Struthio camelus: one gene and its partners. The protein of the gene in region 3 purifies or fractionates together with the protein of the main gene of each other region. This does not show direct contact. Links are inferred from orthologs where the notes say so. Each region holds a gene or a part of one and is shown on either strand. Other genes may lie near its edges.

The links.
Region 1: the proteins of SIK2 (region 3) and PPP2R2A purify together in Homo sapiens (affinity purification with mass spectrometry; 3 studies listed by BioGRID and IntAct, with this or other methods). This does not show direct contact. The link is inferred for Struthio camelus from reciprocal best matches to the Homo sapiens genes SIK2 and PPP2R2A.
Region 2: the proteins of SIK2 (region 3) and PPP2R2C purify together in Homo sapiens (affinity purification with mass spectrometry; 3 studies listed by BioGRID and IntAct, counting the BioPlex papers as one, with this or other methods). This does not show direct contact. The link is inferred for Struthio camelus from reciprocal best matches to the Homo sapiens genes SIK2 and PPP2R2C.

Annotation. Positions count from the first base shown.
Region 1 is NC_090968.1:4,340,395-4,349,719, reverse strand, and holds the start of PPP2R2A (serine/threonine-protein phosphatase 2A 55 kDa regulatory subunit B alpha isoform), read left to right. Parts: upstream 1-5,077; 5' UTR 5,078-5,092; coding exon 5,093-5,129; intron 5,130-5,802; coding exon 5,803-5,877; intron 5,878-8,143; exon of another isoform or gene 8,144-8,242; coding exon of another isoform or gene 8,243-8,281; intron 8,282-9,325. UniProt on the Homo sapiens protein: Substrate-recognition subunit of protein phosphatase 2A (PP2A) that plays a key role in cell cycle by controlling mitosis entry and exit. Involved in chromosome clustering during late mitosis by mediating dephosphorylation of MKI67.
Region 2 is NC_090945.1:74,040,080-74,050,168, reverse strand, and holds the start of PPP2R2C (protein phosphatase 2, regulatory subunit B, gamma), read left to right. Parts: upstream 1-6,434; 5' UTR 6,435-6,581; coding exon 6,582-6,597; intron 6,598-6,845; coding exon 6,846-6,926; intron 6,927-10,089. Other genes in the region: MAN2B2 (epididymis-specific alpha-mannosidase), read right to left, coding at 27-173, 3,634-3,801. UniProt on the Homo sapiens protein: The B regulatory subunit might modulate substrate selectivity and catalytic activity, and might also direct the localization of the catalytic enzyme to a particular subcellular compartment.
Region 3 is NC_090963.1:2,871,985-2,881,808, reverse strand, and holds the start of SIK2 (serine/threonine-protein kinase SIK2), read left to right. Parts: upstream 1-6,097; 5' UTR 6,098-6,187; coding exon 6,188-6,337; intron 6,338-8,268; exon of another isoform or gene 8,269-8,334; intron 8,335-9,824. UniProt on the Homo sapiens protein: Serine/threonine-protein kinase that plays a role in many biological processes such as fatty acid oxidation, autophagy, immune response or glucose metabolism.

The DNA of each region.
Region 1 (9,325 bases), on a different chromosome or scaffold from region 3:
TACAAGTGGCATCTGCTCAAAGTGAACTCGGGTCAAAGGAAGCTTGACTGACAGAAAAAGCAAATGAAAGCTCCATATGTCCGCAGAAGACTTCACGGTATGCTAGTTGGCTCACTGCAAATAACATAAAGCTCCTACCTGCTCAAGGGAGGTCGGCACTGGCGTAACTCACAGAGGTTAGATGGGTTGGGACTTGCACCAAATGCAGTTCACCCTGTGAGTCTGCCTGTCTAAAATTCATTACAGGTTCAGGGTCTGTCTGACCTTTTGTTAAGCATGAGCTTCCATCTGCCAGTATTAAGACATGATTCAGCACTGTTTTGATAATGGTTCTTAATTAAGTGGCTGCATACATAGAGATAATTATGTGAAATTAAGAACAGGGAAACACAGACCAAATACTAGCAAACCTTTTCTAAGTGTAAAGCCTGCTAGGCTGTGAAATGTTCTTTCCCGAAAAGCAATGGAAATCTCTGAGACACTTCAAGCTAGAGAGTATGAAGTGCAGAAGAGTATGCTGTAGGGAATTACATTGCACTGATGTTAACCTTCATGTGGCCTAAGACAGCTCAGCTATTACTAATTTCTAGTGATAATTTTGGTGATAATTACTCCCTTTATTTCTAAACTGAATTGTTGTAATTCATTATAATCTTGTCTAACAGGTCAAATTACTAGGAAACTAAGGCAGATACAAAATGAGTTGCTGATAGAGTTCTTTCTTGGGCCTTAATCGTTTGATCAGTGATTCAACACGAATATATTTTTATTGGCTACCAGTTGCATTTCACATTTTGCTTTAGGTTGTTCTGACTTCTACAGCTCCTGTTTTGCGCTGCTGTGAATGGATCACTCACTAGCCTTTTAACAAATCCATCGGAAATGCTTTTCTGTTATTTTAATCTCCTGGAGATTCTCCTTAGTCTAAGTTGAAGCGTCTATAGAGCAAGAATTAGTGATAAAAACATAATTGGGATAGATAAATGTTTAGTAAAGCTTTGTGCTTTGGTGGTTGTATATAAATTTAACATACTACAGTTACTATCTCCCCAGAGCACCTGAACAAATGCTTAAAATATGGTTAAATCAAAGGGAGATAAGTATGTGCTTACAAACTTTTTAAAATCAGAGCTGCAAAATACACTCTTGCTAATTTGCACTAACCATTAGTACTAGTGTGAATACTTGCATTGTCTGAATTAACAAGCAAGTGAACACCCAGGCAAAGATCGGGACTCCCAAGATGTTTCACTAATTACCATGGCTGTGATTTAATGATAAGTATTTATTATACTTCTATAGCTCAGCTTGTTCAAAACAAAAACCTGAAATGTTGGAATTATGAGCCTTCATTCTGGCTCCATGGTATTAAATCTTTTTTAAGAGGGATTTGGTTCTAATTATAAGGTATATACTAAAGCTTCATTAATTTGCATTACAGAACTAATTGTAGGCTTTTTTTGGCAACAGAAGTTCTTGAAACAATGTTAATTCTACTAGGAGGGCCAAATTCTGGAGTAATAGCACTGAAGGCAGTGGATTAATTTCCCTGTCTGCAAATTTTCCTGCTAAAAGGTTGTGGGACGCTTCTGTTTAGGGCTGAGAAGGATGCTCTGAAGGTATCCTGAAACAAGAAGACTACCAGCTTTTATTTAGAATTTGAGATTGACTGAATTTGGCCAAAAACTTGTAGGATTGAGTGCGTATGGTCCTGAGCTTCGGGAAATGTGCACCTGGCTGATAAGGGAAGGCCATTAACAATGTAGTGATCAAAAAACAGCCTACCTTGATTATGAATATTTTCAAACTTTCAGTGTATTTGCTTTTAGATTTCTAGATTGCTCTCAAAATGGACTAAGCAAAATACTTGGTTTCAGATATTCCCCAATTTAGAGGAGTTGCCATTTTTTTAGACTGTCCCATTATGTTTTGAGTGCTTTTCAAACAATACTGTATCATCATTTCCAAGAACTATTTTATTCACACATGCAGTCCCTTGAGGAACATAGAGATAAAGCTGCATTTGTCCAAAGTGGCCTTTAATCTGGGGCAGTTCTGGGTTTCCGGTATTTACCCTCCGACAGGGGGAGGCTGACTGTATCGGTGTGTTCATACAGAGGCGTTCAGTTCCCACAGCGCTGTGTTTTGCGCTGTACTCGACCAGGAATTGAATGGTCTTGCATTTTAAGAAAAGCCTCTTAGGTGTTTTGAGCTAGAAATGCAAAATCACTGTACGTGATGACTTAGGAAGACCTGTCTGAAGGCACGTTGCGAGTTTGTGGCTGTGCTGGGTTTGCAGTATGAGCTCATGAATCTCAAAGTGAAACCTGGATCAGCAAGCCCTACCCCGCCTGAGAAGAAAGAAAACGTTTGCGCAAACGCCTCTGAAGGGAAACTGATGACTTCCACAAGATCCTAAATAGATTGCACTGAATCAATTCGCTGAGTCCTGCATGTTAACTGCCGCTGAGACTTCAACCGGGACCCGTTGAGCTAAAAAGGCGCCTTCTTCCCTTCGGAGCCAGCAGGAGTTGTGCCAAGCGGGCTCGGCTGGAAGCCTTCCTTTGTAGATCTCGGTGGCTGTCAGCGTGAAAGGTGGATGGAGGCTAAAAATGGCTCCGAAGCACGGCTGGGTGCGCGCAGGGAATAGCAATGAGAGCGACCAAGATGCGCCGGGGTTCTCGAGCGAAACCGGAGACCGAGCGGGCGGACAAAATGGAAAGCGTCCAAGAGGGCGGGAAAGGCGCCTCGAAGAGGTGGTGAGGCCGCGGCGGAGGCCCCGCTGGGTGAGGAAATGTCACGAGAAGGAAGCAAGGGAGTGGATGCGGGGGGGGGGGGGAAGCCGAGCGCTACGAGGGAGATCCAGTGGAAGAGTAAAACGCAGGGCGGCCTGGAAAGCACCCCGGCGAGCAGGTAGGCGACGGCAACCGGGGCCTGCCGGGGCAGCGCCTCCCCCCCGCCGCCGCCGCCGCTGGAGGCCGCGCCGCGCCGCCCTGCCCTGCCCTACGGGGGGCGGCGAGGGACCCGCCGCCCCGCCCCCTCCGGAGCGCCGCCCTCTCTGCCGGGTGACGTCACCCCCAGCTCGGCCGGCGCCATTTTGAAAGTGGAGCCGTTGGGGGGGGAGGGGGGGCCGGAGCGAGGCGCGGAGCGGGGGCAGCCCGAGGAAGCGGAGCCGGCCGCACCCCCCGCCGCCGCCATCCGCCGCCATCCGCCCCCCGCCGCCGCCCCCCGCCCGGCACCGGCGGCGCCGCCGCGTAGCGCCGAGACCGCCCGACCCGCCGCGGCCGCTATCACGAGCCCAACATGGCAGGTAAGGGGAGGCTGCCCCCGCGGGGCACCGGCCCCTGCCGCCGCCGCCGCCGCCGCCGGGCGGGGGGCGCAGGTGAGGCTGCGGCAGCGGCCGGGCTGCCGGCGGCGCCGCCTCCCGCCGCGGCTCGCCCGGTTCCTGGGCGGCTCGGGCTGCGCCTGGCGCCCTGCTCTGCCGCCCCCCGCCGCGGCCGCCGGCTGCCGGCCGGCTCGCTCGCTGCCCTCGCCCCGCGTTCCCAGTCCGCCTCGCCTGCGCGCTCCGGGTTTTGTTTTTTTTTTCCTTCCCCCCTCCACCCTTCTCCTGGGAAATCTGCCTTCCTCCCACCCATCCCTCCTTCCTTTTTCTCCCTTATTGCAGAAAAAAAAAAATTTGCATGGAAGAAGCAAGGTGGAGGGGCTGGGATGGGGGGAGTGGTGTATTTTGAAGTTCAGCGTGCAGCAGGCTTGCAGGCAGGGTGGGTCTTTTGCCATATATATATAAATATATATATATAATAGTTTTTCTGAATCTGTAAGTGCTCTGGTATGTTGCATTTCTTTCCCATGGAGTTAGTGAGGACTGGGCAGAGGCGCTGCTGTGCACGGAAGGGTGTTTCAGGGTGCAGACGTGCTCGTGTCGAGAGTACAATTGCAGCCTTCTGTAGGGCGCAGCTTTCAAATCATCTGCAAATGAGTGCAAAATGGGGCACAGGATGTACTTGGATAATACAAGTCTTCCTCTGTTTTCTTTCTCATTCCTTTCTGTGCTTGTTCCCCGTTTTGCATCCTGCTTTATTTTGCATCCTGGAGTGCTCTTGGTAGGGTAGAAGAGCGTATGCATGAGGTATCTCTTCCGTCTTACTTTTCGTTGTAATTTCCTCCCTTGAAAATGTATTCATCCCCCTCCTCTGCAAATGAGTTGCCTTTTTGGTGCTTTGCATTTGGAGGAGCAAGCATGGGGGCTCTGGCAGGTTGATGCTTTGCCTTGTCCCCCTACACCCATGCCTATGCTCCACCCTCTTTTTTTGTTTTAGTCAAAAAAAATGCAGATTTAAATCAAGTAAATCGTATAAAAAATGAAATTTTGATCTTTTGTAGAAAGAGCAGTGATTTCTCTTGTAAGCTGTCCCCTTTAAATGCTTCCATGGTGTCAGCTGCTAAATGACAAATGAAGAGAGTAGGGAGGGGAAGGAGAATAGGTTGCACAAGTTCAGGGGAATGAGAGAGAAATGTGTGGTATACCTTTCCAACGTATCTGCATAAAGCTTTTTGACATCTCTTGCATAGCTAGATGCTTGTACTTCCCTTCACCTTGTCAGGTTATATAGTTTGCTTGTCTATAATCCTTCAGAAAAACTAAGGCAAGCGAAAAATGCAAGCCACAGTCTGTATTCCAGTGCTTCTCTTGCTCTTCTGTGGCATTTGCTCTTCTGTGGAAAGATTATTTTGTGGCTTCTGATTTCCATGTCTTTTAACACTTTTTTCCCCCTTAGCTTAGCGTAGAAGAGGGAAGAAGTATCTTTTGTGTTCTTTGTTGCCCAAAAGTGATGATAAACTTCTGGATTAATGTGTAAATGCCATCTGTTGCTCAGCCTCTTTGCATTGTGTGTCGAGAAAAAGTTCCATTTTGACAGGCGGTTTCAAAGAGGAAAAAAAAAAAAGGCAAGTCCATTTCAGTCTCTTCCTGTATGTACTCAGCCCAGCAGTGATTTGCTCAGAATGCAATGCAAAAGAAATGGGTGGTGGTTTTTTTTGTGTGTTTTGGTGGCAGGGTTCAAATGAATCGCTGCCTTCCGCAGAGGCAGCAATGTTCCTGAAGTTTTCTCTTCGATCCGTTTTCTATGGTAGTAGAACTTGTTAACATGAGATTGCTCGTTTGCTTTGCTGCTCAATTTGCTGCTTTTTTCCCCTCCTCTTTTAAAGGCTGATAATTACTTTCAGTTCTTCTGTGAAGAGACTTTAAATTGTGGAAATTGTGGTAACTTTTTTCTTTAGCCTTTAGTACATAGGTCCAGTTAAATATTTTTGTTAAAGAAGAAAATGAATAACACAATTGGCTTATATTAAAAGATTAGAATGTTCTGAAAAATGTAGAGCTGTTCTGGCAGTTACTGTTTAAGTTGTTTGTGTTTCTCTCTATAGAGTTCTCCTCTCTAAAGCAGGAAGAAGCTTCGTGTGAAATAGGATGTTGATGCACTTGTGTTTTTAATGCAAAGTTTAAGTTAGCACCAGCAGTGTAGCATAGTTTTGCAAGCTTTCGGTGCATGAGGCTTTTATCGTTCCTACTGCTTATGCTGTTTTTGACAAATGTTGCATTGGCCATTGGCAAGTGACTAATGACAAAAACAATATCTGTAAAGGAAAAAGGTGGGGAGGGGCAATTTGTAATTGTGCCGACAGCACAGCTGAGGAAGTAGGTGTGTACAGTGTTGCCTGAACATTTCAATTGGTAACTAGCAGTGTGTTCTCTGTGTCGCTGCAGGGGTCTCATTTTTTTTTTTTTTGATTGTCTTTTAGGAGCTGGAGGAGGAAATGACATTCAGTGGTGTTTTTCTCAGGTGAAAGGCGCTGTAGATGATGATGTAGCAGAAGGTAAGAACAATTTTTATTACTGCTAATTTTTTTTCTGACTTCCTTATCACTACTCCTTAGGCAGGAAGATTTGAATGCGATCTTGCTAAAATATCTCAGTTCTATTGTGTGTAATTTTAGCAAAGTAGACAGACAGTTAATGTACATTCAGATGCCTTAAGCCAGGATCAAAATCTGATGGTTTGTGAGTATTGTTTTGCACACTTTTAGCAGGGCTGAATTCCAGCTTCCTGAGTATTTTGCTGGAAATGTTTGTTTCCAGAATTATTGATCGAATTTTCCTGTCACTCAGCTTTTGGTTTGTGTTTTTTTCCCAATCTGCAAAATGGGGAATGTGATACTCGCATTCCACAGGGAGGTGTTGTGAGAATTAATTAATGTTTGTACTCTTTGAAGATCTAAGTGTTAGATAAAGATCAAGTAATTTTCCCAATCTTTCTAGCTTCCATTAACCAGGAGAGGATGAAATCTGAATATTTCTGCATGCTTACTCTTTTTAAAAAAAAATAAGGTTCTGTGTCGGAGGAGATGCTGGAAACTGCCGAAAAAGTTTTGTAAGCTAGGGATCCTAATGCTGGCAGTGACAAATGTCATCTTATACTAAGATGGCTGCCTCTGATTGTGACTGCAAAAATTCTACTTGTTTTTATTTATTTATTTTTTTACTTGGCTCAAGCATCATTAGAGGAGTTGTACTTTCCCTCTATATTGCTCTGATGGCTGTGCTAGAGAAAAAAATTTTCTCTGATCTTTCTTTGGGAAAGTCCCACTGACTTCTAAATTTCTTTGGCCGTAAGGACCTGTTTGCACAACATAGCCTCTAAGATCATGAGTTAAAGTTTTTCTTTTGCAAGCAATGGGCTTTGTCACCTGCAATTCTGGAGAGGGTGAGGATTATAGCTATCCTGAATGCTTGTACAGACAAGCGAGATGTATGTTGTATTTGGAAAAGCAGTAGCTAGAGTTCCCATTATTTTCACATTTGACATGTGGTTCAGTTAACTTCTAAAGGCCGAAAACTCAATATAAATGTAAGCGTCTTGTTTTTGTTTATGAGCTTCAGCATGTGGAAAATGATGCACTTTCAAAGACTGTCATTCACAAATTGAAAGATGGATTTTTTTGGAAGCAAGCAAGCTGTAACTTTTTTTTAAGGATGGATTAATCTTAAATTGTTCAAGAAGTATATTTTAAAGCTTGAACTCAAAACTACTATTAAATGTAGTATATATTTTTCCCTGCCAGATTTTAAATTGTCATTTTTATTTTAATTGTATATCAAACTAAGTCCTTAAGTACAAAAATTGAGGAAATTGTGGCCAGTGCTTGCAAATAATTCTTCATTGAAATAGACATGCGACATGTGACATGCGCATAATAGTGATGGGTGTTTTTACATATATGTTTGTGATATAGGGATCTGAAAATCCAGTTGGGAAATGTCTGTCCTGAACACCATTAGCTGTTCTGAAGTATTGTAGATTTGAAAGAAGACTTGCTAGCCTTATGCTTTCTGACACAGTTTAGCATCTGCACTATATATTGGTGGAGTCATAGTGGGTGGAGTTCAGGGAAGCCTTCACTGTGAGTGAATTAAGTAGTTTCAGTTTCAGCAAGCCAGTCGCAGGATGGCTTACAAAAAAGGAAGAATGTCCATTTTTCATCATATGGGAGACGTAGACTTCTGACTTTGCCACCCAAGGAACAAAGAAAAGTCTGATTTCATAATCAGCTGTGATTAACTTAGGATGAGTGCTAAGGCACAACCCCAAAAGCATGACATTTTGCAATTTAAATACCTAGAACCTGGTGTGAGGTCCCTAAAAGGGTGTTATGCTTGGTTGTAATGAATTTGTTGAGCTGGAATTTTCTCCTTTTCCTGTGTGTTTGGCTCCCACAACGCATACTAGAAACTGTTGAGAACCAGCTGTCTAAGTAAAAATGCATCTTTTAGCTTCCATGAGATCCTTAGAATTCCTGTTATGCTTTATAATGTCTCCCTGTAATACTGTTGAAATGGTTGATAAATGTATCAAGCTGAGACTTTTATACTTTTCCTTTTATTAGCTATATTTCTGGTTTTAAGGTTCTCTTTATGGAAATGAAGCCTTTTGTGGGGTTTTGTTTACTTTTTACAAAATTGGAATAGCAGTTATGCATGCTTCTGGTCCTCCTCCTTCAAAATGCCCAAGGACAAGTTCACAGTGGCTCTAAGTCTAGTCTGACCTTTTTTCTCCCTGCCTTTCTGTCTTCTTTCTTGTGGCAGGCACCATGGTGAAAACAAAAGAAAATCCTGCTGTCTGAAACTTACGTGATTCTCTTAACTGCTGTGGTCTGCAAGCTAACAAGTGTGGACTCTAATCCGATGTCTGTGACTACTGAGGATAATGCCAATTTATGTAGGGTAGTACCTAGGGTGTGGATTGGGGGGTTTTAAGTGGTTGGAGAGCTCAAATTAAAAAACTGTGGAATACTGAAACTTGACTAAAAACAAGGTGAAGAAAACAAGGCTGAAAGAGAAGGGAGAGGCATGTTTCATTTTCTGTCTTCCTATTAGTAATACAATGTTGCAATATTTATATTGGAAATTCTTCTTTGCATAAAAACAGTCTCAGTTAAACTCAAGCTATCTTCAGATTTACCACGCTGATTAAGCTTTACGGGTAAACTTTTTCTTCCTCTAAATCTAGCTTATTGGTTTATTTTGTACCTCTGCATAAACTAAACTAGTATATGTCAGCCAAGAAAATGGCATAATTTAATTGCATTAATCAATATAATGTAAAACCAGTAATCTCTCTGCAATGTTGCCTATAATACAGGCCAATGGAGGATAATTCTTTTAATAAAAATAATAGCAACAACAATTTTTAGTGTGGTAAGAATGCTAGTGCCCAGCTGTCAGTAGATTTGAGGTCAGATTTGACCTTGTCACCTTCACGTAATACGTACAACCTACAATTCTTAAGATATTTAGGCTAGAATGGCTGTCTACTAGAAAGATGATATTTGGTGGTTTAGATGGGTGAAGCATAATTTTTTTTCTCCTGGTTTTTCTAAGCACTGTGTGGTAGATGGATGTGATAAAATGTTTCTTTTATTGCTAATGAGGATGGAAGAGAAAGAGCTGTTCCTAAAGCTTGAGAAGATGGCAATGACTTTACATTCAGGGCCTGCCTGTGTCATTCTACTATAGCAAGCTTTGCTAAGGAATATGGATGTGTGAGGAATAAAGAATTGGCCTCTCTGTAGTATAGACAGTTTCTCCTTGGTTGTAAGCTGTGGCCTGGCCCTATCAGGTCACAAAGTTAATCACAGAAATCAAGTTATAAACTGAGTTTTGAGTGTCGGCTTAATATGGTTGGGCTCCTTTATTTTAACTGATGGCAAAAGGTTGTGCTTTTTGTCATGTAGCAGTCCATTGTGTAAGGGCAATGAGGGGTGTGGC
Region 2 (10,089 bases), on a different chromosome or scaffold from region 3:
GAAGGTTCGGCTCTAGTACAACTTACCTGCTGTTTGTGCATATCCGTGGCTACTGCATCCCACCAGAGTCGAAAGAATTCTTGCTCCACAGCGATAAATTTGCGCTGCTTTCCTTTCATTAGCTCTTCCACAACAGACGTGTAGACATTTGCTGCATAAGCATGCATACTTTCCTGCAAAACAGTTTAAAATAAACTCTATATTTTGGAAAGAGGTATTTTGCATATAATAAATGGAGCATTTCAAATAGTCATTGGGCTTGAGGAGAAAGATCCAAAACTCAAGTTTGTCGCGAACTTTCTTTGTATACGTGGAAAGACTGAGTTCTATAAGCCTATAGCTACAGCCTGTGAGCCCATCTGCTCCAAAGTATATCCTCTGATGAGGGACCTCACCAGAGAGGTGGGAACAAGTTCCTCTGTCGCTCACTGCTTAACTTAAAATCATTAATGCCATTAATAAGACTTTGCACCAATATGGATGAAAAACGCATGCTTTGTTCTTCCATTTCTGATCTTCTGCTGGGCTGATGTTTTGAATCACTACAATTGTTTTCGCAGAGTATGACTCTATGCTGTGGGTGTGCATTGCTGGTGTAATCAAGTCATACATAAACTGTAAATTATACTATTATAGCCCTAGAAGTTCCAGTCATGAAAAATAACTCCATTTTACTTGATGTTTTAGGACAGAGTAAAACAACACTAGCAAAGAGCTCTTAGAATGAATTTGACTTTCGATGTAGGCTCATCCGCTGCGAGAACCATGTATTTATTCTATACAGTTTCTAAAACAACTTTGATTCCAGAATGAGGCCTAAGGATTTTACTGGAATGCAAACATGACTGCTGTATCTATCAAACAACCTATCATATGGTTATAATGTATCATATGGTATGAAATGAAAAACATGTTAAAGTTGTGTACAGAACAGTATTTCGGGTACACTTTTCTTCACCAGAGCAACTTCTGCTTGGCCAGATCCATTCTTTCACCCTTCCCTTAAAAGGGATATACCACGACTACAGGCAAGAGCATTTATCCTACGATTTCCTGCAATGTTTGTGCTTTCTTGTAGCAAAGGTTCTGCACATATCTATAACACAGTTATCTGAAGGTTCTTTACCAGAGCAACTGCTGCTTGGCCAGATCCATTCTGACCAAGAGCCACGCACGCAGTAAAGTAAAACGGACAGCCCACAGCCAAGTTAGCCAACGCACGCCACCACAATACACGCACACATCTGAAGGTGATTAAGACACAGAACCCTCATCCACCTTATATATCACTGCATAAGAGTTTTTAACAAGTGAATCTATAGCTTTAATTCAGGCAAATCTCCTGTACGAAAGGAAATCTTGAAATAAGAACGGAAGGATGTGATCCAAATCAGAAGCGTACTTCCCTCCCTTTATTTTCCCTAACTGAAATCAAGTTAGCTTTGTAAAAAATGCTGAAGTGCCATTAAAAAAGGGAAAGCATTTGACTGTAGGAGGAACGGCTTACAATACTTCATTGTCTAAATAATCGCTGGTTCAACGACTTCTCCATCGGTCTTTAAGGATTTTTTAAAAATCAAGGTTACGATTAGATGTTTAATGCAATATGACATTTTAACTACGGGAATAGCTTTTAAGTTTTACTAATGTTAAACAGTGACACTCAAACACCTGCTAAGGAATTTTAATTTCTCATTGCTGACTGGCCATACAATATACCCAATATCCATAACATTTACAATGATTACATCATCTGACTCAATTTAATTTTTAATTGTTATTTTAAGTAGCGCATTGTATTTGAAATGCTGAACAAGGACTTCTCAGACTTAATACAATACTAAAGTATTCTGCATAATTGCTTACAAACTTTTTGCTAAATAATTTATTGAAAATATTTTCTCCACTAGGAAATGAAGACAGGCATTTAAATCTCTGAACCTAAGAGAACATCTAGGAACGTCTTGGTAAGAGTCAGCCAGCAAAACTTTATTATGTCTCAAACCTGAACTACACTGGATCTAAGTAGTAGGGCATTATCCAGTCCTAAAGAGTTATGAAAATTCGTAAACCTCATTGGTGTGGGTGGGAATTGAAAATAATTGTTGTCATAAACCAGGATACTTGCAAGCACAAGCAGGAATTTTCTAATTCATAACTTCTATCAGCTAATGAGATGCTCTGAAACAGTGAGCAGCGGCCCACTATAAACAACCAGATAAGACTTCACTTATTTGAACGTGGGACTTGGACTTCTTATTAGATGTAAAAGATTGAATTTTACTTTTCATGCCACACTGTAGCTAACAGTAGGATGTGGTCAAATATTCATCCAGATGCCACATCTTATGTGAGTTCTGGTATCACTGCTATTACCAGAAGGCAATGGGTAGCTTGCTTTTAGGAAAAAAGATTTTGCTGCATATCTAATATTGGAATTCTCCATCAATACTATAATTTCTGGTACCCAGTCATGCTTGTTGTACTGACATAATAAATGAAATGCTTATTTCTCACATTATGAATGCAGATATTTAATTAAAAAAGAGAAAATCAGTATCTTGTCAGTCACGAGCAAGACCTAATAACTAAGCAAACTAAAACTAAAGGAGTTTAGGACCGCATTAGTAACCCTCAGAGAGTTACCCTCAGGTTTCACTTCACTAGAGCAGCGTTTGAAGGGACGCATAGATGGCCTCTGTGGTTTTTGACCAAAGGAATCACTGATACTTGTGATTTAATACCAGAGGAAACGAGGCTTTGAGCAACTGTCTTCTCCAAAAAAATGATAATTACATGTTTCATTTCCCTTGGAGGAAGTCTTCAGCCATTAGCTGACCAAAACCACATTTATTCTGTGTTCTCTTACACGATTTCTGAATGGGGTTTTCCAATACTAAGAAGAAATTCACTAATCCTGTTTAAAAAAAAGGCAAGACAAAAACACAGGCCCAACAGAGATTCTCCAGTAAACCACTAGCAGAGTAACTATAAAAAACAAACAAACCCCCCGATGCCCTACCACACCTAAAACACCTGATGCCATACTACAGCAGCAAACAAAGTACCCACAGCATCTTTTTTTGCATGAGCTCCTAAAGAAACTCATGCTCAGGAAGGAGGACACAGGATTTAGACTAAGGGATGTGAAAGGCATTAACGACCCATCTGACTCATTCTGCGCTGCACCCCATTCGTACCGCAAGAGCTATTCTGCGGCCACGGCAGCGGGCGCGGGGATCCCACTCCCCGCTAAGCGAGCGTCACCAGCCCTTACGCGTCCTCGGGCTTTCTGCTTAGCAGCAGCAGCAGGACAGAGCAAAAACACCTGGGGGAGGAAAAAACCAAAAGTCTGCTGAATAACCGAGGCGCAGCTCCACAGGAAGCTGAAGGTTTCTCCTCCGGGAGCTGCACCAGGCGCACGCCGCTGAGCGCGGGCACAAGCGGAAGTAAAATCCGCGCGTCTCAGGCGAGCGGCGCCCGCTCCGGCCGCACCTGCGCGCCCGCGGCCGGCTGAACGCGCTGCGGTCTCGGGGGCGCCTGCCCAGCGCTGACGTGCTTCGCCGCCGCACCGAGAGGCCGCCTCTCCCTCTCCCCGCCCTGCCCTGGCAGCCAGGCCGCCGCGGGCCCCACCTGCACCGTGTAGACCCAGCCGACGTCCATGTGGCTGTGGGCCACCACGAAGGCCCGCAGCGGCCCGCGGCCGGCAGCCCGCGGCACCGGGCCGAAGAGCAGCAGCAGCAGGAGGAGGAGGAGGAGGAGGAGGAGGAGGAGGAGGAGGAGGAGCGGTGGCGGGCGCATGGCGACTCCCAGCCGGGCTCCCCTCAGGCGGCGGCGGCGGCGCCCTTCCGCGTCCCGCCGGCCCCGCCTCCCCCGCGGCCGGGGCGGAGACACCGGGGGGCGGGAAAGGAGCCGAAGCAGCGGGATGGGGGTGAAGGGGGGGGCGAGGCGGCCTCCCGCGAGGCCAGGGGGCCGCGGCCGGTGGAGCCGCCCGCCAGGGGCTGCTGGCGCGCCTCGCTGGGGCTGTTTTTCGTCTAAAACTAGGTTGCGCGGAGGGGGGCTGAGTTCTGCAGCCTTGGACGACTGACAATCCTTACGATTCTTGTTCATAGTGGATTTTTTTTTTTTTAATTTGTGGAAACTCTTCTCAATGGAACACGAGCTTTTTGTGTTGGTAGGTGGTTTGTTCGAGCCAGATTTTTGCCGCTGAGTTTTAAAGTTAAATTTTATTCTGTGCTGTCGACCTTCTCCTGATCCCATTTTGGTTTTACCGCTGTTAGCAAGGGCTGGCCCTGTACTGAGAGTCAAAAAGTGTCCGCAGAAAGCCCTGCTGTAGAGGCAAAACCCCCTTAAGTTCAGAAACGTTACATGGGTAGTTTAGCCCCAACGGTCTCCCCAGAAGTTTGGACTGTGGTTGTACCACCAGTTTGTCCAGTGTATCGTTGTGATGTTGAAGACCAATAATTCTTGTTAAACTTCAGTTCTTCAAAATACACAGCAGCGTAAGTCAACTACCTTGCTTAAATTCTAGTTTGAGTAAATGATATGCATCTAACAAACAATATTATAACTGAAACGTGCTGCGTTACATGCCAAACTGCGTGACTTTTTTTTTTATTTTGGAAGTTTGTCAATGTCTGAAGTCCAGAATGAAAAATGTGATGTAGGACAGTATTACTGAGTGGAATGGCATAAAACTGCCTCTTTTTAAAAAAATAAATCTGAATAAATAAATCTGAACAGATTCTCCTGGAGCGAGGCCCTTGTTTGCTAATTAGCATGGCGGACTATAGAAAGATTTCCTCCAAAAAGAAGAGACTGAAACTGGGACATTAACATTACTTTTATTCGTGATAATGCTGTGTCATGAAGAGCAATCAAGGTCTGTAGGTATGTCTTAGAGGTAGCATCTCTGCAAGCAGCTGGATAAAGCTTTACTTGTAACACAGCTCCATGGACCCCCCCCCCAATCATCAGCTTAAACCTTTTCAGTTCGAAGAAAACCAGCGCACCTCCTGCAAACGTATGGCTCAGGGATGTGTATATATATATATATGTCTATGTATATGTACGCACATTGTCTGAACTGATGTTCTTTCACCTCAGAAGGCGTTATGGTCTTTGTTATTTAGGTGAAGTTCCCAGGAAGCCCTAAGTGTTGGCATTTCGCTGTGTTTCTAAAAGTAGCTGAGAATGTTTGCACAACGTTACTGCCATTTGAAGCCCAATTCCTTCAGAGTATACAGTTGTCCTCCCTCTTTCACAAAGCCTTAACTCTTTACGCTGTCCGGCAGCGGAGACGAGCGCAGGTATTTGAAGAGAATACTTGCATTAGGGAAACGAGAGTCAAATTGCCCACAGTTTATGAAAGTGCATACAACTCTAATGGCATCAGGAGGGTCTTTGCTTGCTGCAAAAAGGGATGAATATAGGCATGTCGGGTGGAATTGGTGCCTAGTGTTACCCCACCCTTACACACCGTTTGGTAAATAGCAAAAAGCTAGGTGAATGATCCAGAATAACTGCGGTGCCGTGACAGCTGCCTGGCTTGGTATTTTATTGTGTTGGCTCTTCATTTTTTAGGTATGGCTCGATTATAGTTGTCCTGTATTATGCTCTTAAAACCTTCTCATTTGCCCGTACAAAGTGTGTTTGCTCTCTTTGATATGAGCTATGCTACGCGGAGGCCTCTGGCACAACCACTGCAGAAAGAGGGAAGATGGAGGCAGGACGCTGCCAGCTGTGAGCTGAGGACGCACAAGGTTTCTGCTGGAGAAAACGCCAACAACACCTGCAAGCGAGCAGAACAACGGAGGTACCTTTACGTTTCCCTCCTGTGGTGTTTGTGGGGTGGACGTGGGTAGGAATAGATACGTTTATAAATTAAGATCACTCTAGCTTACGGTTTCCATGTTTTAAAATTTGCCACCCCCCTAGAAATTTTCCGGTGGAGGCACAGGCCGCTGCATAGAGCGCTTCGGGTCCCTCGATAGCAGGTTTGCTTTCGTAGTTACTCTTCAAGCATGCCGTGAAGACGGCGTGTGGATCCACAGGGCTCCACAGGCCGGGAGACGAACGCGAACACGACCCTTCGGCCTGGCGGCGATGTCAGCGCGTGGAAAACCCGACAACTCGCGCGGTGTTGGCGGCCTTTACCCGCGGGCCGGGCGGCCTGGCCTAGGGACGTCGGGGAACCGCGGGACGCAGAGGAGCGAACGCAGCTGCGGAGGCCGCAGGCCCCGCCGGCGGACTGACGTTGAAACGCCAACGCGCCGGGGCCCAGAGGTGCGGGCCGGGGCCGCTCGCACCTGTTGGGGCCGCGGCGGCGCCGGGCGCGGCGCGTCCTGGGCCAAGGCCGCGGCGGCGCCGCCTCCGCCGGGAGCTCCGGGCGGAGCCTCCCCCCCTTCCCGTGCTCCCTCCCCCGGCCCCCCCGCGCCCCGAGGCAGCGCCGGCTGCCTGCGCCGCCGCTCCGCTGGGAGAAGGAGGAGAAGGAGGTGGCGGCGGCGCCCCGAGCTACCGGCGCTGGGAGCAAAGCAAATCGCAGTTTCAGAGCGCAGGGCGCCTTTCGGCGGGCACCGCACATGTCCCAAAAGCAGGGTACTCGGCGGCGCTCCCCCTTCCCCCAGCCCTCCGCGCTCCCCGCGTCCCTCCGTCCCCTGCTCTGCCCCTTCGCCTCTCCTCCCCGCTCGCTGCTCCGTCCCCCGGCTCTTCCTGCCGCTGCCGGCTCCTTTTCCCCGTCGCTCCCCGTGGCCCCCGCGGCCTGCCCTGCTCGGGCCGGGCCGGGCCGGGCCGCGGGGTGCCGCCGGCCCGGCCGACACTGACGGCGGTTTCCCTCCTGTGCCTAGCTGGCGGCCCCCCGGGCGAGGGCGCGGTGGACTGGTGCCTCTACCAGCTCAACGGAGCGGCCGAGCTGGAGGTGTCGGAAGGTGAGTGCGGGGCGGCGCCAGGCGGCTGGCCGGCTCCGGGCCGGCAGGGCAGGGGGGCGGGCGGCCCCCAGCCGCCGCGGAGGTGCGTGTGCTGGGCCGGGCACCGGGGGGGGGGTCGCGGCTGGTTTCGCAGCTCGGGGCCTGGGTGGCATCAGCCCCCTCGTCCGTGGCATCGGTGGCTGCTGGTGTGAGTGAGGCTCCGCTTGTATCTGCTGTAAAAAAAAAAAAAATAATTTTTTTTGGGTCCTCTCTTAACTTCGAAGAGAGAGGTAACGTGGAAAGTTTTATTTTTCAACGTTCTGCAGTCAGACAAGGACCTACCTTCGGGTGCCGGGGCAAGAAAGTTTCCCCTCCTTCTCCAAACGATGTATAGTTTTGAATATGCACAGGATTTAAACGTGGAGGTCAACTTATGTTTTGCTGCTACGTCCTTTACCTAGTGTGCAGTGAGCCTAGCTCAAGGTCTCCACTGATGTTGTTTTCAGCGAGTTAGGTGCAGCCGACCTCATCCTGATGTTTCAGTCTGCTGGTATTACGTGTTTCTGTGGGGACCGCGTTTGCTCTTTGTAAGGGCTTAAAATGTGTTACAAGTTCAAGCTTGGCGTTAGGAACAACTTTCCATTAGTGAGGGAGGTGAAGCACCCTGATAGATAGGGTTCCAGTTAGACACGAGGAAAAACTTTCCAGCGGTAAAGTACTAGATAGATGGGTTAGACAGACAGAAAATCTCCTTCCCTACAGATTTTTAAGGATGGTTTCACAAACGTGGGTTGGGAATGACGCAGTTGTAGGTGTTGCCTTGGGGCAGGTAGGTAGACTGCTGGATGAAATCTCTTTCAGCTTTATTATTATTTATTTATTATTATGTAGGATGTGAAGTTTTGCGTTTTGTCTTGTGTTTTGCTTTTTGGTAATGCGGGTTAAACCCCGATATATTAATAATACACAAAACCTTGGTCAAGGCTTTGGACTAAGTTTAATTTTTCCCCCAAATATATGCTGTGGAGGTTTAGGTCTCAGGATACGTTTGCAAGTGTGTGTGATTACACACACATGCATGCTAAAGGATTACTCAAAATATGTTGTGATTTAGTGCCCAGATGACTTTTTTTCCCCCGAAACTGCATACCAAGCCAGATGTGATGACGACAGGTGGGGGTGGAAATTACATCCATGTGAGGGAGTGTAATGAGTGAGTGACAGCATTTTTTCAGGCATCATAGAATGTTGAAAACAAGTTTTAGGTTGGCGTTGCCTTTTATTTAAAGATTTGAGTGAGTGGGATATGCTTCTTAACCTTCTTTGTCTGGGTAAATATCAGTGTTTCAACCCTAGTTTGAGACTATAATGTTTTCTTTCCAATAGATGTTGTATTCCTTTGATTTATTGGGTCATCTTTTGTCACATGACAACATTAACCATAGTTTTTTAAAATTAATTTGCTAACCTTGACTTCAGTTTTCTTTAACACTGACAATTTATGGATGTCCAGTTTTATCCCATGCCTTAAATGAAACGCTTGTGTTTTCTATTCTTTACTCAGCCTGGGGATATGTGAATTTAAGAGAACAGGAAACAGTCTGAAGCAGCACAATTTGGTCACACAAGCTATAGAATCAAAACTATCTGCGGGTAGTAAACCCCATTGAACGTCAGTAGGCTTACATTTGAAATGCATTTTGTTCTTCCTCTTTTCCGTTTTCCAGAAAGCATGCTGTCTATTAAATGCCTCTAATATCTAGGAACATGTACAGCAATATAATCTGTGCACTTTGCAGAAGTGAAAATCAACTTTTAAAAGAAAGTGATATGATAGCAGGTGACTTGACCACTTGCATGCCAGACAGTGCCCTAGATAAAGTCCAGACTTCTTCCTTCCCTGAATTTTTCCTTTAAAATAACTTAAATAACACAGACCCAAATAGGAGCTTTAGCTTAAAATTGACTGTTTCTATGACTTTCAGTGGAGAATTTTTCTGTCATTATCCTAGTTCTTTTTATTTTAAAGAAAGGCCACAACCTTTGTGATTGCAGCTGTGTTGGTTAGTACCACTTAACTAATGGAGAGAAGGATTAATTCATCTATATTAAATGCTACTGTGTGTTTGTCTGTGTACATATATATCTATACAGGTAAACGTCTACGCATTTATATTCTAAATTCATGAGCCGTCTAGCTACCTCTTGCTTTTTTTGCTTTTGAATGCATGCAATGGCCTTGTGGTACTTTATCAGTTAGACTCCAGAATTGTGTTCAGCAACGCTTCCATGTTAGACTAGGAAGAAAAATTAGTCTTTTACCAAAAATAGATATGTTAGATGAAAAACATTCATTTACATAACAGAAAAGCAAAATTGCATATTTAAAATGCAAGGAAAATAGAGCATAGTAAGTAAAGCATAACAATCAAAGCCAGATAATCATGTTTGATTGAGTCTTGTTGCCTTGAAACAAAATCCTATTTCAAATATTGCTACTTCTGTAATTCACATCTAAGTGCAAAATATATTTTATTCATGCTAAGGATCTCCAAGCACTTTGCTCATGGTAAGTGCACCCTTAGAAAAGATGCATGAAGAACGATATTAGTGTATCCAGTTATAGGCTAGCAAGACAAAATACAGAAGTTAGGGAGGTGAATGTCTGCTGTTGAGCAATTAGTAATTGAGACTTCTGAAAAGTCAAATCTTGTATCATTTGCCCAAACTGACTGTTGGACTGTTGACAGTCCATTACGTTCCAGACCCTTTGCTCAGGTCGCATTAAATTCTTAAAAACTGTGTGCAAGTTACAGCATATTTGAAACATTCAAAGCTGTGAATTCTAAGCTGTCTGTTCTCATACAGATAGTGTTGCATTCAGTAATGGTAATTTGCTTGATGAGAAGACTGACCTCAAAAATCATCTTGTTAGTTTTCAGTCTTAAAGTTAACTCCTCGGAGACTTGAAATTGGTTTATTTTTCACCCATTTTGTAATTTTATGCTCTGGAATGGCCTGGAAGCTCAGTCAACGTTCGGTGCCTTGTGAATCATGTGCTACGAACTTTCCTGTTATTTGCCATACACTGCTCTAACCTTCTCTTTTCTTTCTGAGTAATTTGAAGACTAGCGATCTAGTCGTGTATTGAGGAGATGAACGGATAATACACCGTTTTTTGTTT
Region 3 (9,824 bases):
AAACTTTAATTCTGTTGTCCAGCAGGTATGTGGAACGATTTGGAAGCATGTTGAGACAGTCAGTATGTATAAAAACTTGTTTACAGATGCAGTTTGAGCAGTTCTGATACTTGACCCAGTGTACAGCAAGTAATATTTTTATGTATTCTGTTGGATCATGTTCAAGCTTTTCGTAAGCCAAATAAAAATGAATGCCTGTTAATCTATAAAAAAGAAGAAAAAAAAAAAAAACAAGGCCTGCCAGTCAGTGCTGGTTGCAAGTCAGTCATCTTTTCAGGAGAACTTTTATCCGTAGATCTCAAGCATGCATAGGACTAAATTTCTCAGTGTCCTTCAGTTCAGAATTATTTAGTGGAGTCTTAAGCAATCTTAAAGATTTCCATGTAACTAAGTGCTCTCTCAGCTAAACACCACTCTTTAAGAGCCTGCCCTAGTGTGGGCAGGGAAGACTTGCACTGATCTCTTTTTGCTTATGGAACACTTTTGTGAATATTTTCCTTGTTTAGGCTACCTTGTGCACACAGTGATGGACAGGAAGGGTAATGTGGCAGCGATGTGCTGGGCTCCTGCTGGGTGAGGTTTGTCTGAAGGCGTAAAGGGCATAACACAGCTGTGTGAAAGGAGCAGGTTGAGGCAATCTTGATACTATGAAATGATTACTGAAGCCAGAATTCTTCAAAATATTTTGTTAAAATTATGAAGAATTGTATCTACTTTATCCTGCTTTATAATGTTTAAAAAATTACAAGAATTTTCTGAACTCCAGGGTTTGGATCTATCTGTTTTCTGTTTTTTTTTTTTTTTTTTCCTCCTCTTTGATCGGTGACCAGGAAATGGAGAGAGGATGACTGAGTGAATTAAGCAAGCCAAGCAGGAATGCTAATAACTACTCACCTATTGCTCTGCAGGTGAATGTTTCCAGCTCCAGGAGGGCCGTGTTCTGCTGCCAAACAGGTCTGGCTGTGAAACATCTGAAATTAATTTAGCTCTTGACAGAGTTCACACAAAGTTTGCTCTTCATTGCACAGAAATCAATATGAGAAAGAAGCAAACTAATTTGCATAAGCCACCAGGAAGCCAAGATCTGCCAAAGGCTTTAGCAGGAGGTGTTTTATGTGGGACTGAAACAACAGAAGTGAGTGCAGGACGTGGCTATGAGTGTGCTCTGCCAGTATAAATACGAAGGAAGCCGGTTCTGGATCTCTGTACTATTACTGTACATTGCAAACATGGAAATACTTCAGTTGCCACAGCTGCTTCTCCCTTCCTGAACGTTACAGGCAAGGTTGTGCACAGTGGCTCTGTCCTGCATACCTGCAGGATGACACAGTGTCTGCTGATCTTGCAGTGTTCCTCCAGCAGTCAGTGGAGCAGGATTGGGCCTTGAAACTGCAACACTGCAAAAAGTCTTCTGCCTGTTTTGAAAGCAGCACCCAGTTAACATCCATGTCTTCTAACTTTTTTCTTCTTCTCTTGGCATCTCTTAAGCATTGAGAAACAGGAAATGAGAGCGGAAAGCTCAACACGCAGAGCTTAGGCGTGCAAACGTTTAAAGCCCAATTCTGGTAGCTATAGAAGTGTCCTGATACTTGGAACTGATGACTTTACCTGACCTCAGTAAGTCAGCTGCATTGTTCAGCATTTCTGGAAGTCAGGTCAGTTAGCTATAGGGATAAATTTAAATAGTGGTTAATGAACTAAGGTTTCATACGTAAGTGACCCAAAATAGTGCTGCTTTGGTGGTAGGCTGGATAATGCTGGTCTGTGATTTTTTTTTTCTTTTTTTTCCACACAACTTTAACTTCATAGGCTGTTTGATTTAAATTCTTTGAATGAGAGTTAATGTTCGAGTCTCCAATCACAGTCACACTTTTCTCAAGAGACTTCTCTAATTGACTTAGATTAGGAAGGTAGGTAGAAGTATTTGAATGTACTATCACAAGATCTCCGTTCTAAGTAAATTCATTGTGGGGAAAAAAGGTTCCGTTTCCTGTATAGCAAAGCCAGCTATATTGTGATTAGAAACAGAATTAAAGTTCTTGAAATGAGGGCAATTTAAATTCTTTGAGACTATCCGTGTGCCATAGCTGCCTCTCTGGGGAAATCTTGCAGGCCAACCTGACCACAGTCTTGTAAAAGGGGACAATCAGCGTGTGGAAGTAGATGGCTCAGAAGTTGGAGGAAACGCTAGGATTTGCATTTCCGAGTTTCAGCCTTTGCTCTGAATGCCTCCTAAAAACTGAGGAATTGAGTTGATTCTCCAATATTGGTCTCTTTCTGAAATGCACTTTGTATTTACTTCTTGAGAAAGTGCTTGGAAATTACGTTGCCTTTGAGTTACTGTGGACATTACATGGTGCTGTAAATTTTTTTGGCTTTTACTTCTCCCCATCAGGAACAACTTTGTCTTAATGTGTTAGGGAGCAGCTTGTAATAAATTGCACTTTCTGCAGCTTTTGTTGTTGTTAGTGGTTTAATCCCCTGTACACCCCAGTATTGGTAGCAAGGAAAATCAACACCAAAATTAAAGTATAAAACAAGTCTTGTGAGAACTGTTGGATGCCGCAGTACTTCCCATTTAGCACAGCAGCTTTTCTCACCGATTCCTTTGAGTGCTGCTCTTTTAAAATACGACTTTTTTTGTCTCAGCACATAGCTAATTAAATGAAGGTCAGTAAATGTGATGTGAATGGACTGTGCTCCAGTATGCATTGCAGATACAGAAACAGTTAGAAGGTAAGGAATGTCCTGTGTCTTCCAGGCCAAACTTGAGAGGCAACGCAAGCTGTTTGATATGGCTGTTTTCCACAGCTTCACCTTGGTCTTGCATTAAGCACCAAGAAGTGGCTCTTCCACTGAGTCCTTGTGGAGGTTGTTCTACAGTCTAACGTACTGCAATTTCACTGCCTCGTATCCGATATCTTCCACCAGGTCTCTCCCTAGAGAGAAGTCAGCACCTTAACCCCCTTTAGCATTGTGCCTTGTCCCCGTTTTACAGAAAGCAAAGATGACTTAGAGGTAATAGAACTTGCCAAAAGCTGTGTGACTCAGTGATGAGCAGGTGCTCGGATAAAGTAAGATTGCAAACCTTGAATCTAGCACTTCAGCTATTGATGGTAGTGCTAGATTTTAATGTGCCCTAGATGTTAGCAGCCTGTGGGATCAATCAGTGGTGTTATTTCAAGTTAAGGGAGGTGACCATGAAGAAGCTGATTTCCTCTTCAGTAGTTTGCCTGGTTTCTCTAATGCAGTATGACGTCTAAGGAGGATGTTGGTGGAAAGGATTGCTGGCATTAACTTAGCTCCTCTTCCCACTGTGTCTTTCCCTGTGGCCACGTAATTCATAATTGTACTCTATGCAGCTTCTCCCCTGATGCTCTGCTATGACCTAGTAAGGAGGTGGAAAGCGTTAGCATGATGTTATCTTTAGGATTTATCTCAGCTGGTTTATCCCTAGTGTGATTTCTAGGGCTGAATTCAGTAGTGAAAATACAAATTTAATTAGAATAGAAGTTAAAGAGAAAACAGTTCCCTTGCACATCCTGCTAAGGCTGTTTCATGGGAGATTGTAGTTTTTGCAGGATTCAACCTGCGAACTCGGGCAGATCCCCTAAACTGATCTTGCAGACCCACCTCCACCAGGTGTTCGACAAGCACTGCATAGTAAGGAAATAATGCTATTTTCTGGCTGTATTTCTACAGGTAGGTGGTTTTATTTCCTTGCTTTCCTTTGTATAGTCAGCCATTTTAACTTTTAAGGATAGTGTTTCATTAGGTGTGTAATCCTTATTGCAGATTTGTCTCAAACCTTTTTATCTCCCTCCCCCCCTACCCCCCAAATTTTCTGGACTTAAATCTTTCTGGGCAGACAAGCATGTGTGACTGCATTTATCTGTGTATAATGGACTTAGGTGTTACATGGGACAGGAAGGAAAAAGAAGGCAGATCAATTGTTCTCTGATATCTCAGTGTAATAAAGCATGACAGTTGCAGTATTAGGTACAGGGGTGTTGACCACAAGAGGGCATGTGTGCTCCACACTTGATTCCATTTGCCTGTTAGTTGAAAGTTTGCCTTGAAAAACTCCTCTGCGTTCTAAGAAAACACCAGCGTTTGAGAGAAGCAGTTGGATGACCTTCTTCAAAGCATAGTAGAAGCCATCAATGGCCATGAAGTCTGCACAAGGAATGTTCTTGTGATCGCAGTTCCTTTAGCAGTGTTGGGCAGTATTTATTTTTTTTACCCTAAACTTCTAGGCCAAAATGGGCGTTATACAGTGCTCCACAAGGAAGTTTTTGGAAATGAAGCTTTCTGTTGAAAGCACAGTATCTGGCTTAATGGATTTTTGGAAGAATTTGGTGGGACTTTACATGCGTGAAAGCAGGCAGGAAGCAACAGAATTTTACATTGCTACAGCTTTTATAACAGCAACTGAGAACAGGTGTTGAGCAATATTTTGCACAATGCAGGGATTTAAAAGAAGAAAAAGTTACTTTTAACATGCTGCGCTTGCATCATGCTTAAGTTACTGTTTGGCCTATGTGAAACAGGAGTGAAGTCTCATAAGTAGTGGATGAGGATGACACCATTTTCTATCCAAGTGAGATTATGGTGAGCTTGCTCATACACCTGTCAATCCTAGAAAAGGGTGAATGTCTGACTAACTCAACTCATGGCTTAGTCATTGCCAGAACTTCTTAAGGGGATAAATAGAGTGGCAACAGCACAGTTGTTACCCATAGCAGTGTCAGCTTAAAATGTCATCCTGTAGAGGAATCTCAAACTGCAAGTGCAGTGCAGGGCATGTGTTAACTTTATTCACTCAGGTCTTCAGTTGCCTAGTCAGAAGGATGATTACTTTATAGCAGCTGACAAATTTAAACAACCTTCCACAAGTATGAGGCAGCTTTAAATACAAAACTCCTATGTAAAGGGAAGATGTGAGACAGATGTTTAGTTCCTTGCATTCATGAACTTTTTCCTTTTGTGGCCAAGCGGTGGTCTCATTAGTGTTTGCGTCCGTGGCGCTCTGGAATACGGAGCGGGCCTGTAACTGCTGCTGAATGTGCAGCTGACTCGACAGACACGTGTGTGCCCTCATGCCACCAGCTCTGGGACATGCCTTGCTCAGTCAGCAGCACTGCAGGAAACCTCCGGAGGGCGATTCCTGTTACCTGGATGTCAGGTGGTGCCGATCTCCCAGGGTGAGGTGGGTCAGTCAGAGGGGAGCAAGGAGGGACAAGTGAGAACGGGAGGAGGGCAGATTGCTGAAAAGAGCATGGCGATTTTAGAAGCCAACATAACTGAATTACAAGCAGTGAAGTGAACTAGGTGGACTGAGTAGTGGAAGGGAAATTAGGTGTAAGAGGCCTTCCTCTTCACACACTACCACTGTCAGCTGTGTAACCATTTTATGCTGAAGGGGCCTCACTGCTTTGACATCTAAGTGATGGGAAATGCTGATGGCTATTTTGATATGTACAGGCCGATTACATTAAGGGCATCCTTCTGATGTAGGACGACTGTGGTGGCCTTGAAATGCTGTTCTCCGCAAGGGGAAGGGCATTTCCCTCCGGAAGCCGAGGATCTGGTCCTGGCTGGTGGTGATGGCCCCCAGGCCTTAGAGCTGTTCTTGAGGCTGTGGAGCAGGCTGGGAGCTGAGATGCTGATGCAGTGCTGGAGTGGCACCTGGGGGGGGGGGGGGGCTCCTGCGGTGGAGGAGCACCGGGGGGAGCCCCTTGGTTTTTTGTGGGTGGTGCTAATGTAGCTGACTCAGCCCTGCTGTGCACACAGGTGCGAGGGGCCTAGGCTTGAGGGCATGGGGGGGGGGGGGCCCTCTCCCTGGCCCCAGGGCTGTGACGGTGGAGGAGGCGGCTCCTTACATCTTGGTGGAGGGAGGTAGCTCGGGGTAGCGGGGGGTGCGGTGCCTTCTCTCCTTTCCTCTCCCCCTCCGCCCGGCCTTGCCGCGCTGCGGGGGCCGCCGGGGAGGGGAGGCCCGGCGGCCGCCCCGCCGCGGTGGCTCCGGTTGCCATGGCGAGGCCCCGCCCCCGCTGACGCGCGCGGTGACGCGCGGTTGGTGGAGGAGGGCGGAGGGGGCGGGGCGGCGCGGCTCCAGGGCGCCGCAGACGGACGCGAGCCGCTGCCGCCGCCGCTCGCGTCGGAGCCGCCGCCGCCCCCCGCGCCCAGCATGGTAATGGCCGAGCCCCGGCGGCCCCCCCCGCTGCTGCCCCGCGGGCCCGGGCCCGTCCGCGTCGGTTTCTACGACATCGAGGGCACGCTGGGCAAGGGCAACTTCGCCGTGGTCAAGCTGGCGCGGCACCGCATCACGCGCAGCGAGGTGAGGCGGGGAGATGCGAGGCGGCGGGGGCCGCGGCCGCCCCCTGCCCCGGCGCCGCCCGGCCGCCGCCGGGCCTCGCGCGCGCGCCGACCGTTGGGACCGTTGGAAGGGGGGGGGGGGGAAGCTCGCTCGGGCTCTCCTCGGGGCTTCGAGCTGTCTGTTGGGCTCGGCTCGGGGTATGGATGGGCCTTAGCGCTGTGGGGCTCGGCTCAGGGTTTCTCTGGGCGGGGGGGGGGGGGTGTTCACCTTTGGGGCTGTGAGGCTCGGCTCGGGGTGTGGGGTGGCCATGGGGCTTTGGGGGAGGGGGTGTTCGCCTTTGGGGCTGTGAGGCTCGGCTCAGGGTTTGGGGTTTTACAGAGGCGTAAGCTGGGTGGCTCAGCTGGGGGGGAGGTCGGCAGGCGCCCTTGCACGGCTTTGTCCCTTCTGGCGCAGGAACCTTCTCCTTTAGGAGAAGGTGTGAGGAGGGGGATTTTACTTGAAGTGCTTTGCTGTGAGCAGGCTTTGAAGGACGAATCATGCCTGCTTATTCTTATTTTTGGTTTTCCTGGCAAGGGCAGCAGTAACGCCTCTGAGCCCAGCTGTAGCAGGGTGTCCCTGTGGCTCCAGCCCCCCTCCCTGTGGCAGTGCACTTGCTGGTTTGTGGCTGTGACAGTAAGGATGCTGGGGGCTGTGTGTGAGGGGGTGAACAGCTGTTGGCATAGTTCATGAGGCACGCTGATCAGATAATGGTAACTTGCTTGCTGCTGATAAGGGAGGCTAAGATCTTGGCTTGTGGCTGGTTTGTTGTCCTGCATACATTAGTTTCCTCACTTGGCTAGTACTTTTAGATGAGCCGTAGTAGTCTGTTTTAGTGAAGGAACTATTTTTTATATATATATCTTGCTATGAGTCCTCCCAGTAAGACATGCTACAAATGAACCAAATCCAACCATTTTAGTTTTTCGCTGTTTTTGCTTGCCCCAAATGTTACATAGTGAGTACCAGCCTTGAAACTGTTAACCTTTCATGCTTCACCTAAAGCTATAATTATTGCAGTCTATTTGGGTAATATGTAGTCAGGTGCACTCTAAAAACTGCCATCTAATGGGAGTAATGGCTTTGAACGATCAGCTTCCTCTCATGTTTTCTTCTGAAATACTAGGGGTGAGCTCTTTGTCAGTCTCTGTGAAGATCTTTTTTGCTCTTTACTGAAGAGCTTTATGTGGTGCTTATACCAGTCAAAAATAAGGAAATTGGCTAATCAAAGTGTTGTCCAAAATACAAAGTAAACAAATTGAAAAAAACCTGACATTAAGCAGTTGCTGTAGTCTTCTCATATGACAGACTCATTCCTCACAAGAATGAAAACTGCCATGAGCTTGGGCTTTGGTTAAAGAAAACAAACCTCCAATGCTGATGTTGTTCTGGCTGTGCTGTGGTGGATGGGCTTTGCATCCTAAACATTAAATTAGAGCCATATTTCTCAAGTTGCACAATAAACTGCTAATCACTTTAAATCTTTCTCTTTTGTTACTGAAGAGCAAGTTAAGACCTTTGACGATTACCTGAAGGTGTTCTGTTCTCAAGTTGGATGCTATATGCCAAATTTCTAAGTATTCCACTTGAAAGCAGTAGGTTGTCCTTTTTAGTGGTGTTCTGTCTTATATATGGGCTTTATGATGAGGAGGAATACTTCAGTCTTGACCTTGTTATTTTAAGAAGTCTTTGTTTGGTATTGTTCAAAATAATGAGTATATAGAAAATTAGGAGCTTAACAGCTCTCTCATTCTGGTACGATTCTTCCACCTGTACCCTCAGAAATTCTTAAATTCCAGTACATTGTCATCAGTACAAGTTTGAGTTCTGTTAACCGAGTTTATCTTTTATGAGAAGCCTTGTGTACAGTGTCTAATCTGGAGCCTTTTTATTTCTGCATTATTTTTACAGTAAACTTGCCTATGAGACTTCTGTGTCAAACTTCACTTTTCAGTACAGTTACATTGCTGTGAATTTTTGCGGTAAGAGATGCAAGAATATTTATTTGGAAGTTAATTGCTTAGTTGCTCGAAGTATTGACGTGATCTTTGAGGAAGAGGAACCCTGTTCAGATCACTTTTAGTAACGTCAAGAGAAAGTAATTTTAACGGAATACTGCTTTGAATAAGCACCCCAAGTTTGGGACAACCTCACTTAATTTAATGGTAGCTGACTACGCACATAAGAGAGCGGGAGTCCCGCTTAATAACATGTCTAGATGGAAGACATTTGATTCTGAGACTTGTTCTAAACTGTTGGATATTAAGTTTGGCTTAAATTTCTTAAGTTGCTGCTTTCTTGTGTTTACTTATATGCTGCACATGACTGCCTCTATTAAACTTGCTATGGAAGAATATTTAGCTTATCAGCTGCTGAAACTAATGCCATCTCACCAATGAGTCTGTAGTACATGAAGATCTGTGCTGTGTTTCTGTTGAGACATGCTCAGAGAAGTCCTTTCAAAGGGACTGTTTCCTTCTCTGAGTTTCTCCTGACTCTCCCTGTTCAAACTCGTTATGCTATGAATTTGTTTTGGGGCTTTTTTACAGACTTTGCAAGTTATGCTGGTATACCAGTATTAGCCAGTAAGCGTCAAATTTGAAAAGATAGGATCTTATTACCTTGCAAGCTTAGCATTTATGGAGTATGTACAGAATCCACCTTACATATAAAAACCTGCATATTAGAATTGAAAATTGTAATATTAACTGAAAACACTGAGTACAGTTGCCATGAAACTGTTAAAGAAGATTATGGATGAAAGTAAAATGATACCAGACCTGAAGCAAAAGATACCCTTCTACTACCTTCTCTTTTGTGTATGCAAAGAAACTCTGAAATTGTAAGTGAAACACTGTGTTAATATAGCAGTAAAATAGTCAACCGGAAAGAAACATGAAAATACAGTCCATGACCCTCTTCAACGACAGTCCATACAAGGTGCCTCAAAAGGGGGCTGCACGGTTGAATGTGACCTTTGCTTTGCTTGTTTGTGTGTTTGTTGCCATTAAGTTAATGACATGCTCTTTTCTGCCATGCTTGTTTATCAAGTTGCCAAGGAATCCTGTGATCTCAGGATATCATTTGCTAATGAAATGTGCAAATAAGCAAAATGCCTCTTTAGAAGGAGAAGAGGGAAAACTGCTTGCTGCTACAGACTCTCCAGATCTGTTGCAGGGGGTAGAGGAGGAAATGCCTCTCCGGAGGCAGAGAATGAGCAGAGCAGTCCCTTTTATCAGCCAACTCGCAGGTAGATCAGATTGGGTGTAATGCGAAACTGCACCCTGAGGGAGGTAATGTTTTTGTGAATCTGTGAGAGCCAAACACTGTGCTGTTCTAAATTGAACTCGCTCCAGATCAAAGTGGTGTGTGTTGATGCTGTTAATCTACTTTTGAGGTGCACTGGGTTAACAACTCAAATGAGAATTTCTCTAACCTGGATGAAACCTTAATTAAAGCTTACACTGACATG